Callithrix jacchus: one gene and its partners. The main gene of each other region encodes a partner of the protein of the gene in region 3 in a complex. Links are inferred from orthologs where the notes say so. Each region holds a gene or a part of one and is shown on either strand. Other genes may lie near its edges. The genes, in order: POLR2E, GTF2A1 and GTF2F1.

Region 1 (3,738 bases), about 5.0 Mb from region 3:
CTGAGTAACAAGAGCGAAACGCCATCTCAAAAAAAAAAGAAAAAAAAAAAAAAAAAAAAAAGAGCCTCACCAGGTCCACTAAGCAGACAGGCTCCATCCTCCACACTGATTCTAGGTGCTGGGCTATGCACATAAGGCTTTCTCAGTCCCCCAACCTCGGAGGGCTTTAGAGCCACAATGGGGAGGCAGACAGGTGGGGGAGACTCCACAGAGAAAGTGCTGACACCAAGTGTCCCAGGGGACCCGGGAAAAGAGTCCCCCGCACAATCTTGAGGGACAAAGAGCAGACGCTGACAGGGCGGGGAATGGGCTGGGGCGGGTTAGGGCGGCCAGGGCCGCAGCTCACAAGGAGGCTGCTCTGACCTGGATAGGGCCTCCTAGGCCAGGCCAAGAAGCTGGAAGGGCACCCAGTGGCCAGGATGGGGGAGCTGAGGGACACAAGGTCATGGGGGGCTGGGGTAAGTGGAGAGGCCCACGTGACAATCCTGGTTGGAGGAAATGGTCAGGGAAGAGAGAAGGGGACTGATAAGAGGGAAACTAGAAAGATGCTGCATGAGAGAGATCAGACGTCAACAGCATCACCCCAAACAAGGAAGGGGAGGGGAGCCTTTCCCCCAGACTGGGCAGAGGGACAGGAGCTGGGCAGGAGGCGGATGCTGGCAGCTGGCTCCTCAGCTGGTGCTGCTCACCTGGAAAGAACACAAACATCTGGTCGGTGGGGTCATCGTTGTGTGCCACCAGCACGGTGAGGTCTGTGCGCCGCGGCCGCCCCTCGCTCGGCTTGTCCCCAAACTGGGCTTTGAACTCCTCCAGTGTCTGGTCAAGCTCGTCCTGGGTCACTAAGTAGCCACGGTCATGGCACAGCTGCAGAAAGAAAGAGCCAGGTGGCTGGGTGTGGTGGCTCCCGCCTGTAATCCAAGCACTTTGGAGACCAAGGCGGGCGGATGACCTGAGGTCGGGAGTTCAAGACCAGCATGGTGAAACCCCTTTATTTAAAAAAAAAAAAAAGAGCGAGCCAGCTGACCTCAGGGCAGATGGAGGAAGGGGGCCAGATCTCATGACCCAGAAGTCAGACCTGCAGCTGCTGCAGAGGACAGAAGGCTGAACACTCATTCAGCCTTGGGACAGCCACCCTACCCCCACAGCCACACCACAGGATGGGACCAGTATGATCCTGAGAGGCTTGCAGGGCCCAGCCTCACAGGAACCTGGCAGGGCACAAACCTGGCAACCACACCCAGCCCTCCAAACCACTTTTCAGAGAGACCCTAAAGACAGGGAGGGAAGCCGGGCTCGAAGGCTCAGAACTGTGATCTGAGTGCTAGGGAGGCTGAGGCAGGAAGACTGCTTAAGGCCAGGAATTTGAGGATGCAGCCGGCTATGACTGCAGCACTGCACTGCAGCCTGGAAGGCAGAGAAAAACCCTTGTCTTTTTTTTAGGGGGGGTAAAAAAAAGGGCCGGAGGCGGTGGCTCACGCCTATAATCCCAGCACTTTGGGAGGCCGAGGCGGGTGGATCACGAGGTCAAGAGATCGAGACCATCCTGGTCAACATGGTGAAATCCCGTCTCTACTAAAAATACAAAAAATTAGCTGGGCATGGTGGCGCGCGCCTGTAATCCCAGCTACTCGGGAGGCTGAGGCAGGAGAATTGCTTGAACCCAGGAGGCGGAGGTTGCGGTGAGCCGAGATCGCGCCATTGCACTCCAGCCTGGGTGACAAGAGCGAAACTCCGTCTTAAAAAAAAAAAAAGAGAAAAAGAAAAAAAGACAGGGGGCCGGGTGCTGTGGCTCAGGCCTGTAATCCCAGCACTTTGGGGGGCCAGGCGGTCAGATCATCTGACGTCGGGAGTTGCAGACCAGCCTGGCCAACATGGTGAAACCCCGCCTCTATTCAAAATACAAAAAAATTCAGCCGGGGGTGGTGACAGGTGCCTGCAATCCCAGCTACTCGGGACGCTGAGGCAGGAGAATCGCTTGAACCCGGGACGCGGAGGCTGCAGTGAGCCGACAGCGCGCCCCTGCACTCCGGCCTGGATACGAGAGCAAAACACCGTCTCAAAAAAAAAAAAAAAAAGACAAGGACGGAAACTGAACTACAGGCTCCCAGCGAGGCCCGGAGGAGGGAGAATCCGGCTGCGTGGGCTTCGCTGAGGACAAGGGCAATGGGTGGGGAAGGACGACAAAGCGAAAGCTCTGGAACGGCCCCAAAGGCTGGAGCCGGACTCCGAACCGCGCGGCTTCCAAACCCGACTCAGCCCCGCGGCCTCCGTCTGCCCCAGGCCCCGAGGCACGGCTTCCGGGCTCCACGTCCCCATCTCCCGCCCCAGCTCGGTCGCTGCTGCCCAACCACCAACTCCGCCAACCTCGGATGCGGAGACCCCCGGGGGTCCGGGACGCGGGGACAAAAGGCGCCGCGGAACCACAGAGCGGGGCAGGGTCTGGGGGCGCCCCTTCCTCCTCCTCCTGCCGCCACGCGCGCCGCACCAGGCCCGAGCCGCCCGACCACCCCTAAGCTCCCGCACCCAAACGTCCCGAAATCCCCCTCCCCGCTGCCGGCTCAGGTCGGGCCCAGCGCCTGAGAACCCCGGCGGCCTCGAGGCCTCCCGTCACCGCCCGCCCCTTCATCGCTGCTGCTCCGACGGGACTACGCCAAGAGGCCGAGCTCGACCCCACCTCGTGCCCCTGCACCCACCTCTTGCGCCCCCGGCCCCACCCCACGGTTCTAAACAGCTGCCCGGCGCGCGGCTGACCTGCATGATGGTCTTGCGGATTTTCCAGAGCCGGTACGTCTCCTCCTCGTCGTCCATGGCGGTCGCCACTCGCACCCCCTACGCATGCGCTAGTGACGTCTCGCGCGGACTGCGCCTGCGCCGAACGCCAGTCAGGTCCCCTTCGCTTTACCCCGCCCGGAGCTGGGCTGCCTTCCGCGAAGGCCTGACTGCAGCAACATCTGGGACCGGCAGCGCCAAGGGCAACCCGAGCCTTACGAGCGCGACAGTTGGCTGCACGAGACTCTCGCTCCGCAGTTCTCCCGTGTCTTTGGCCGCTCGGCCTCTCGGGAGTTGTAGTTTCCGTTCAACTCCCACGTTGGGGCAGCGGTTTAGAATCCCACGGAGCGGGGCCGGAGCGTGGGTGGGGAAACTGAGGCCTAGATGGGGCCAAGGGGCAGCTCAGCTCCTAGGGGCGGTCAGCCTAGTGAGAACTGTAAATATTTGTACACCAAAGTCTACAGGGTTCTCTTTGTTGTATCCAGCCCATGTCCCCTTTAGTGCCAGTGAGCTTCAGTTTCCCTACCTGTGCGATGGCAGTGAAGTGTCCCTCGTTTAGACGGATAACTGGGAGGCTCGGGTAGAGCTGGGCATCTCTCTAGAGGAGCCCTCCTGCAGTCCACGAAGTCAAAACTGCGTTGCTCAAAGAGCCTTTGTCTCAGTGCTGATTTTTCTCTGTGGCACCGACCATCTATTTCCAACAGTGGGAAGTAGAAAGGTTCCTTTTTACAGTTTCCTTTCCTGTTAAAGAATAAATCAGGCCGGCCGCGGTGGCTCACGCCTGTCATCCCAGCACTCTGGGAGGCCGAGGAGGGTGGATCACGAGGTCAAGGGATCGAGACCGTCCTGGCCAACATGGTGAAACCCCGTCTCTACTAAAAATACAAAAAAATTAGCTGGGCATGGTGGTGCGTGCCTGTAATCCCAGCTACTCGGGAGGCTGAGGCAGGAGAATTGCCTGAACCCACG
Region 2 (3,744 bases), on a different chromosome or scaffold from region 3:
AAACTAGATGGTGTGGTGTTCCTCAAATCAGTTACCTCTAAAAACCTTTTGCTTGGAGATCCAGAGATATATAGGTATAAATTTGCTTTCTTCTGGTACTCCTCTACTTAATGAATCATTCTTTAAGATTTTATTTTTGTGCCTTAATGAACTCACAACTTGATCACTTAACAGCTTCATAAGCACTATAGTTTAAAGAAGGGAAACGTGTATGCTTCACAAAGTATATGCCCAATGAATAATTTAGAATTGTTCACAATTTGAAAAGCACTCAAGACACGAATTTTTGAAAACTATGTGGGCACATAGGCATTATTTGAAATAAGCAATTTATAAACTAGTACCTAAAATTCTTCACTCTATTGAGTCAAAGTTTCCGTTTCTCACGAAATAGTTTAGGTTTGTCCTGATTTTTAAAAAGACAGGTATTTCAAACTTGAAAACTGGTTTATCAGAGGGCCACTAGTGGCATTATTAAGTGATTTCTTAGGAGGTTTCCTTCAAAAATGTTAATTCCCTGATGCAATGCTGAAAAATAAATTGAAATAATTTTTATACTGGATACTGTGTTAATAATATCCAAGGCGATAAAGTTCTACTTAACAGTTTTTTAAAATCCAGTTTGCACTAAGTCTCTTCCCTCTAATTACTCACGATTCCCCTACACATAAATGGTCCTATTCTGAAGCTTCAGGCACTTATCTATTTCTCTGAAAGGCCTCGTGTCTTTTAGATTTACTATAGAAAAACATAATGAAATATTAGGAGCTGTATTTCTAACCTGTTTCCTGAATATTTGAACAAAATACAACAAAAACCAAGTCCTCTGCAGCTAACACTTTGTAGAAAGCAGTTTTTTTAATTCCTGAAAATAATGCACACAGGAAAATCACTAGACTATCTGATCAAAAATTCTTTGTTTTCATATTTTGAAAATTGTAAATAAAAACGGACAGCGATTCGGATATATTTCCCCTAACAAACAAAAGAAGGTAATTCCTAGCTGCTGCTAGGAACAAAACAAAAACTTGGGGCTCTGAAAGCAGCCCCCGACAGGCGCGAAATTACAGCGTGAAAAAAGGACCTACAAATAAACTGAGCTCCGCACGCGCCTGGCTCTCGCCTCGGGAGCACGCACCTCCCAGCCCCGCTCTCAGCAGCTCTCACTATTTAAAGCCGGATCTGGTGTTTAAATGGAGAGGCGGTGACGTAGGCCTGAAAAGCACCTACCCATCCTGGCAGAGTCTATATTAGAGAGCGGCAATGGCTCTATATAAACAGGGCAGCCAAAGGGAGGAGGACCACAAAGCTCAGGGACTGAAAAGCAGGGTAAGCGGCCGCAGCCATGATGGATCGACCCGAGTCGCCAACGGTACGGTGTCGGGCGGCCGCGGGCTAGTCTGCGGCATTTGGGACCGGGCAAAAACGTGTTTTATTGTCATATAAAAATAAGAGTTGGGGGGACTAGTGATCACATTGCGTTGGTGACTGAAAAGGTTATTTATGTGACTGCTTTTTGCAAACCTACGTGATCGCAAATAACCAAAAAGGGACCAACGGGAAGAAGTAGGCAAATTTCAAGGCGAAAGCAGGGACACTTGGACCACTGTAGGCTTTTTTTGTTTGTTTTGGTGCTTTTGCTAGTCGAAGATACGATGGGGGGGGGGTTGCTTCCCCTTCGCCATTTTACCCATTCGGAAGGAACTGAGATAAGTGCTTTTCAAACAACCTTAGTCCTTTTTTTAAACATAAAATGGCCCCAGTGAAGGTTCCCAAAGCACAACTGCCAGGAAAAAACCTAAGTAACCCCCAAAAGTAGCCATTAATCCTCCACTGCATTAAAGTGGATCACGGTGGGTCTCAGGGGTTCGCCCGATTCCCCAGACACGGTTTTTGTTCTTAAGCCGCTCGGGGAGCCATCGTCTAGCCAGCGCGGACGGGCCCCTCGGGGGGAAGCGGCGGCTCCCCTCACGCCCTCCCTCCCGGGGGCCGGGTTCTGGGGCCGGGGCTGCGCGCCCGCCCGGGCCCAACCGCCTCCGCGGCCCGACCCGGCCCGCGGCGGCCCCAGGCCCCGCCGGCGCCCCCGCCCTCCCCGAGCCGCGAGCCCTCGGCGCCCCCCCGCGCCCGCCGCCCGCCGCCCCGGCCCGATCCGCCCGAGGCGGGAAGCGGCGGCGGCAGCGGCGGCGGCCGCGCGGGCGGCTGAAGAGTCGAGGCCGGGAGTCGCCGCCGTCCCCGCCCCCGCCCGGTCCGGCCGTTGCTGCCGCCTGAACGAAGCCCCCGCCGGCCACCGAACCACGTCCTTACCACGGTGTTTGTATTTGCCGAGTTCGCCATTTCCACACACAACACAAACAAGAGGGGGCAACCCCAAGAAAACAAGATAAAAACAAAACCAAAAAAAAAAAATACTAAAACACCCGAGGGTGACCCAAGTCACCGCAAGATTGGGGAAAAAAACTTAAACAAAATCAATCCTGAAGGAGTAGGGGAGAGCGGAGAGGAGGAGGAGGAGGAGGAGGGGGGCACTCCTCCCGCAGCTAAAAACCTCGAGAATCGTCTTTTTAAAAAAAAATCCACGACCCTTAAGGGGTCCGGGGGCGTTGCCCGCTCCCCACCCCGCGCCAAGGAGGGAAACCACCACCGGTCACCGCTCCCTGCGCCGCCGCTGCTGCCACCGGCTGCAGCTCCAGCCGTCCGGTCCGCTCGCTTCTCTCCTTTATATAGCGAGCCAACAAGCTGCGCGAACCGCCGCCGCCGCCGCCGCCGCTGAGAGACAGGGTGATGGGGGAGGGAGGGGTGGAAAGGGCGGGGGCAGAGGTGGGCGGGGCTGAGCGCGAGACACCGCGAGAGCCGCGTGCGCAGGCGCGTCGGGGCGGAGGCCGCCGCGAGCCGCGTCGTCACGCGCGGTGGGGGTGCTCGACTGGCGGAGCTTGGGTAGTGAAGTAGTGAAGTCGGACCTACGCCTCTCCAACTCTCGCGTGATCACGTGGTTGGCACCCAGGCGGAAGTCTGCCGCAGTTCTTTGCGGTGAAGTACTTGCAAAGCGTTTCTGGAAAAGGCGCGAGTTCTAGTGACATTCCAGTCCAAAGCTAGGTGGGACCGCCTCCTGTCGCACGTTTCCGCCCGGTCCCGCGCTGGAGGAGCTAGGAAATGAGACAAGCGGTAGCGACTGCCTCGCTAGGAATGGCCGCGGAGAACTGGTCACGTGGTGCGGCTTCCGGCCTCTGGCGGGTTCCGATTCGGGACGGTTTTAAATGCGGAGTCATCTCTTGATTTGTCAGCGAGGCTTTGACTGTGAGCCTCGGAGCGTTCGCTCCTCGCCGAGGGTGGGTCTTTCGCGGGCAGAATTATGTAGAATTTCCCAATGGGAGTAAAAGCCGATTGGGGCCCACTTTCACATTCCAGAGTTACTAACCTCTGACTTGGTTTGTTTCCACACTGGGTCCGCTACGAAGACCAGGCTTACTTAGGTTACCCAGAGATTAGTTCCCTACTAGCCCACGTACTTTAAATAATTTGTCACGGTGGTGGAAATGCGGTGCGGGGAGTAGGGGAGACAACCCCACCAGCCTTTGGATTATAACAGCACAATAACTTTCCCTGGTTTTAAAAAATACTGCCAAAATCCCACTACTCCGCATGGCCAACGTGTAGTGACTGATCACATTGAAACACATGCCCTTGACCCAAATCGCTTGGCCTCTAGTTATAAGAGAGCACGGCGGCTGTGCCCGTGTCTTGAAG
Region 3 (3,645 bases):
CTCCCTCCCGTCCTCTGCAGCCTCCTTCCCTTCCCCCCAGTAAGCCAGCCAGCCACCCCCACGACGTTACTCTTCTCCGGGGGCCTCAGAGCCCTGCCCATTTGGGGCAGCTTGGACTTGCAGAGACCCATCCCGCCAGCAGCCCTTGGGGTGGTCGCGCCCCGATTCCGGGCAGGCTCTGACCCCTCCTGGCTCGGCTCAACGTCACAAGGGTCCCCGCTCCGGTCATTTTGCGGGAATGACGGGGTCCACCCCTTCTGGGCAGGTAGAGGAAACGAACCCCAAACAGGCCCATAGGGAGCCAAGCGGCAGTTCGACTGGACCCGAGTAGGCCTCAGTTGCTATGGTGACGCGGCCTTCCAAGCCCCAAAGTCCCGAGCGGCATGACGCATGCGCAAAGCGCCTGGGAGCCCGCAAGGAGGACTAGCTTCCTTCTTCCCACCCAGGATGCCCTGCGGTCCTTGGGTGCTGACGTCACGAAGGAGGGCGGTCCCACATTTGATGACCGCACTGTACATAGGAGCATCAGCGACCAAGGCCGGTTATTTGATCTCAGACTCGGCCTTGTTGCGTCTGAAAAGGGGCAGGGGTGGCTCTTTTGAGGTGGCCATAGACGCCGAGGAACATAAGTGACGGCGCATTGAGGTAGCCACAGCCGCTTAGAAGGTTGCCATCGCGACGCGGCCGCTGGAGGGTTTAGCTTCCGGGTTAGGCGGCCGCGGAGGCGTAGACGGAATAACCTGAACGCCTCTTCCGGTTACCCTTTCCCAGTGCCAGAGGCGCCTAGGGTAGGAATCCTCACACGGGGACCGGAACAGAGACCCGACAAGGAACGGCGGCTTCCCCGAGATCGAGGGACGCGCTAGCCAGAGGAGAAGAAAGGAACCCGGGTCGGACCACGGAACCACTGACCATTGCCCATGGCGGCCCTAGTGAGTGTGGATTTGGCGGGGTTCGGGGGTCCCGGCGGCGACCTCGGCGGCACCTTACTCACCGTCCGCTTCCTCTTTCCGCAGGGCCCCAGCAGCCAGAATGTCACTGAATACGTCGTTCGAGTTCCGAAGTAAATCCCCTACCCCATCTCCCACTCCTCTCCACCCCGCAAAAGTGAAAACCTTTACGGTCCTCTTAGCCTGACGTTTCTGGCCCTGTCTGTGGTTCTCCCTCCAGACCGGGGGACTTGGAGGGCAGGGCTGCGATTAAGCTGAGGCTTCTCTGGAGGCAAACACTGCTTTTTGTATGAATGAGTGCATTAATACACAGCACGATTCAGCCTCCTGGCCTAACGTTCGAGAGCATATGATGCCCAGGCTGTCTCGTCCTCTTTCAAAGCGAGCAGGCTGCCTTTCCTTTCCAGGCCTTTGTACATCCCGTTCCCTCTGCCATGAGTGCCTCCCCTCAGCCCCCAAACGGTGACTCTGTTGGGTGAATTCTTGTTGATTCTGCAAAACTCAGCTCCAGTATCATCTTCCTCCAGGAAGCACTCCCTGACTGACCTCCCTCCTCCCCAAGGCTGAGTTCCCAATAATCTCCACATCTTGGGTTTCTCCCAATCTTTGTTCCTCCATTTGTTCTTCGTCTGCACGCAGTTAAGAGGGGATGGGGTCTAGCTTCTCTGGCAGACTGGGATTCCTGCAGTCTTCCGTATCCAGTGTTGACAGGCAAAACAGACTGAATGAACCAGGGTGGGTTTGTTGAGTGACTGAATTAATGATTCAGTGGAATGGAATGCTTGAATTAATGGTTCAGTTGAATGGAACGATCGAATTAATGATTTGATTGAATTAATGATGTGTTCACATTGATTGATTAAATTAATGATTGAATTGAATTGATGTATTGGATTGGCTCTATCTCTTCTAATCCACTCTAGGAATACAACCAAAAAATATAACATCATGGCTTTTAATGCAGCTGATAAAGTCAACTTTGCCACGTGGAATCAGGTAAGTCCCTGGGTCCTGGGGGTCGGGGGCTGGGGTGGTGAGAGAACCTGACCCTGACCTTGGTGGTTGTAATAGTTGCTTAGCTGTCATAGTAACTAAGTCTTAATTTTCTCACTTTTCCCAAGTGGAGATAAGGTAGATGACAAAGAGTTGGGTGCAGTAGTTTGTACCTGTAATCTTAGCACTTGGGAGGCCAAGGCAGGAGGCTTGCCTAAGGCCAGGAGTTCAAGACCAGCCTGGGCAATATAGCAAGACCCTATCTCTACCAAAAATAAAATAATTAGCTGGATGTGGTAGTGTGCATCTGTAGTCCTGCACAGGAGGCTGAGGTAGGAGGATCACTTGACCCCAGGAGTTGAAGGCTGCAGTGAGCTATGATTACACTACTGCACTCCAGCCTGGTGACAGAGTAAGACCTGTCTCAAAAAAAAAAAAAAAAAAAAAAAAAGATGGCAAAGGCCCAGGCCAAGCTCCTGGGTGTCCCTGTAAGTTACGTTTAGTAGGACCACAGGAGGCCATTCCTTAATGGAGAACATTTAGAAGTTGTGCCCACTGATGGCCATTTTTGCCAAGGTTTATCTGGCTGAGGGAGGGGACTGGGCTAGGGCCTTCCCCAGAGCCCCTGCCATCAGAGGCTCTAGAAAGGACTGTGGGAGCCATTAAAGCATCCTCCACGGGGAAGTTGTATTGTGATCTGGCTGCTGTGGGGAGGCAAACTGTGGGTTTGAGGGCGGATAAAGGGAGAACAGGGTGGAAGCAACTGGGCTGACTGGTCTAGGTGAGTCCTGGCCTGGGGATGTGGAGGCCGTGAAGGTGATGAGATGTGGCTGGATTCTAGAGTGTTTTGGAAATGGTACATATGGACCTTGAAGCAAGAGCTTAAGGGTAATTGGGACCTTATTGGCCACATAGGTCATGATTAATGGTTACATTTTAGAGATTTTGGTGTCTTACTGTCAACAAGTTTGGCACAATGAATTTCTTTTTATTTATTTAAATTTATTTTTTTGTGATGGTGTTTCACTTTTGTTGCCCAGGATGGAGTGCAATGGCACGACCTCAGCTCACTGCAACCTTCAACTCCCAGGTTCAAGCCATTCTCTTGCCTTAGTCTCTCATGTAGCTGGGATTACAGGTGCCCACCCCCACTCCCACCTAATTTTTGTATTTTTGGTAGAGATGGGGTTACACCATGTTGGTCAGACTGGTCTCGAACTCCTGACCTCAGGTGATCCACCCACCTTGGCCTCTGAAAGTGCTGGGATTACAGGTGTGAGCCACTGTGCCTGACCTTTTTATTTTCTTTCTTTCTTTTTTTCTTTTTTTTTTTGAGACGGAGTTTTGCTCTTGTTACCCAGGCTGGAGTGCAGCGCGATCTCGGCTCACCGCAACCTCCGCCTCCTGGGTTCAGGCAATTCTCCTGCCTCAGCCTCATGAGTAGCTGGGATTACAGGCACGTGCCACCGTGCCCAGCTAATTTTTTGCATTTTTAGTAGAGACGGGGTTTCACCATGTTGACCAGGATGGTCTCAATCTCTTGACCTCGTGATCCACCCGCCTCGGCCTCCCAAAGTGCTGGGATTACAGGCTTGAGCCACCGCGCCCGGTCGCTTTATTTTCTTTCTTTATTTTTTTGAGATGGAGTCTTGCTCTGTTGCCCAGGCTAGAGTGAAGTGGTGTGATCTGTGCTCACTGCAAC

Evidence for each region.
Region 1: GTF2F1 (region 3) and POLR2E share a complex: the UniProt entries of both Homo sapiens proteins name them as parts of the TBP-based Pol II pre-initiation complex. The link is inferred for Callithrix jacchus from reciprocal best matches to the Homo sapiens genes GTF2F1 and POLR2E.
Region 2: GTF2F1 (region 3) and GTF2A1 share a complex: the UniProt entries of both Homo sapiens proteins name them as parts of the TBP-based Pol II pre-initiation complex. The link is inferred for Callithrix jacchus from reciprocal best matches to the Homo sapiens genes GTF2F1 and GTF2A1.

The regions. Positions count from the first base shown.
Region 1 is NC_133523.1:1,037,403-1,041,140, forward strand, and holds the start of POLR2E (DNA-directed RNA polymerases I, II, and III subunit RPABC1), read right to left. Parts: upstream 2,834-3,738; 5' UTR 2,809-2,833; coding exon 2,752-2,808; intron 865-2,751; coding exon 690-864; intron 1-689. Other genes in the region: uncharacterized protein LOC144580922, read right to left, coding at 2,899-3,149, 3,296-3,460. UniProt on the Homo sapiens protein: DNA-dependent RNA polymerase catalyzes the transcription of DNA into RNA using the four ribonucleoside triphosphates as substrates.
Region 2 is NC_133509.1:116,182,296-116,186,039, forward strand, and holds the start of GTF2A1 (transcription initiation factor IIA subunit 1), read right to left. Parts: upstream 2,776-3,744; 5' UTR 2,335-2,775; coding exon 2,305-2,334; intron 1,373-2,304; exon of another isoform or gene 1,299-1,372; intron 529-1,298; exon of another isoform or gene 345-528; intron 1-344. UniProt on the Homo sapiens protein: TFIIA is a component of the transcription machinery of RNA polymerase II and plays an important role in transcriptional activation. TFIIA in a complex with TBP mediates transcriptional activity.
Region 3 is NC_133523.1:6,031,124-6,034,768, reverse strand, and holds the start of GTF2F1 (general transcription factor IIF subunit 1), read left to right. Parts: upstream 1-766; 5' UTR 767-920; coding exon 921-932; intron 933-1,016; coding exon 1,017-1,063; intron 1,064-1,873; coding exon 1,874-1,946; intron 1,947-3,645. UniProt on the Homo sapiens protein: TFIIF is a general transcription initiation factor that binds to RNA polymerase II and helps to recruit it to the initiation complex in collaboration with TFIIB. It promotes transcription elongation.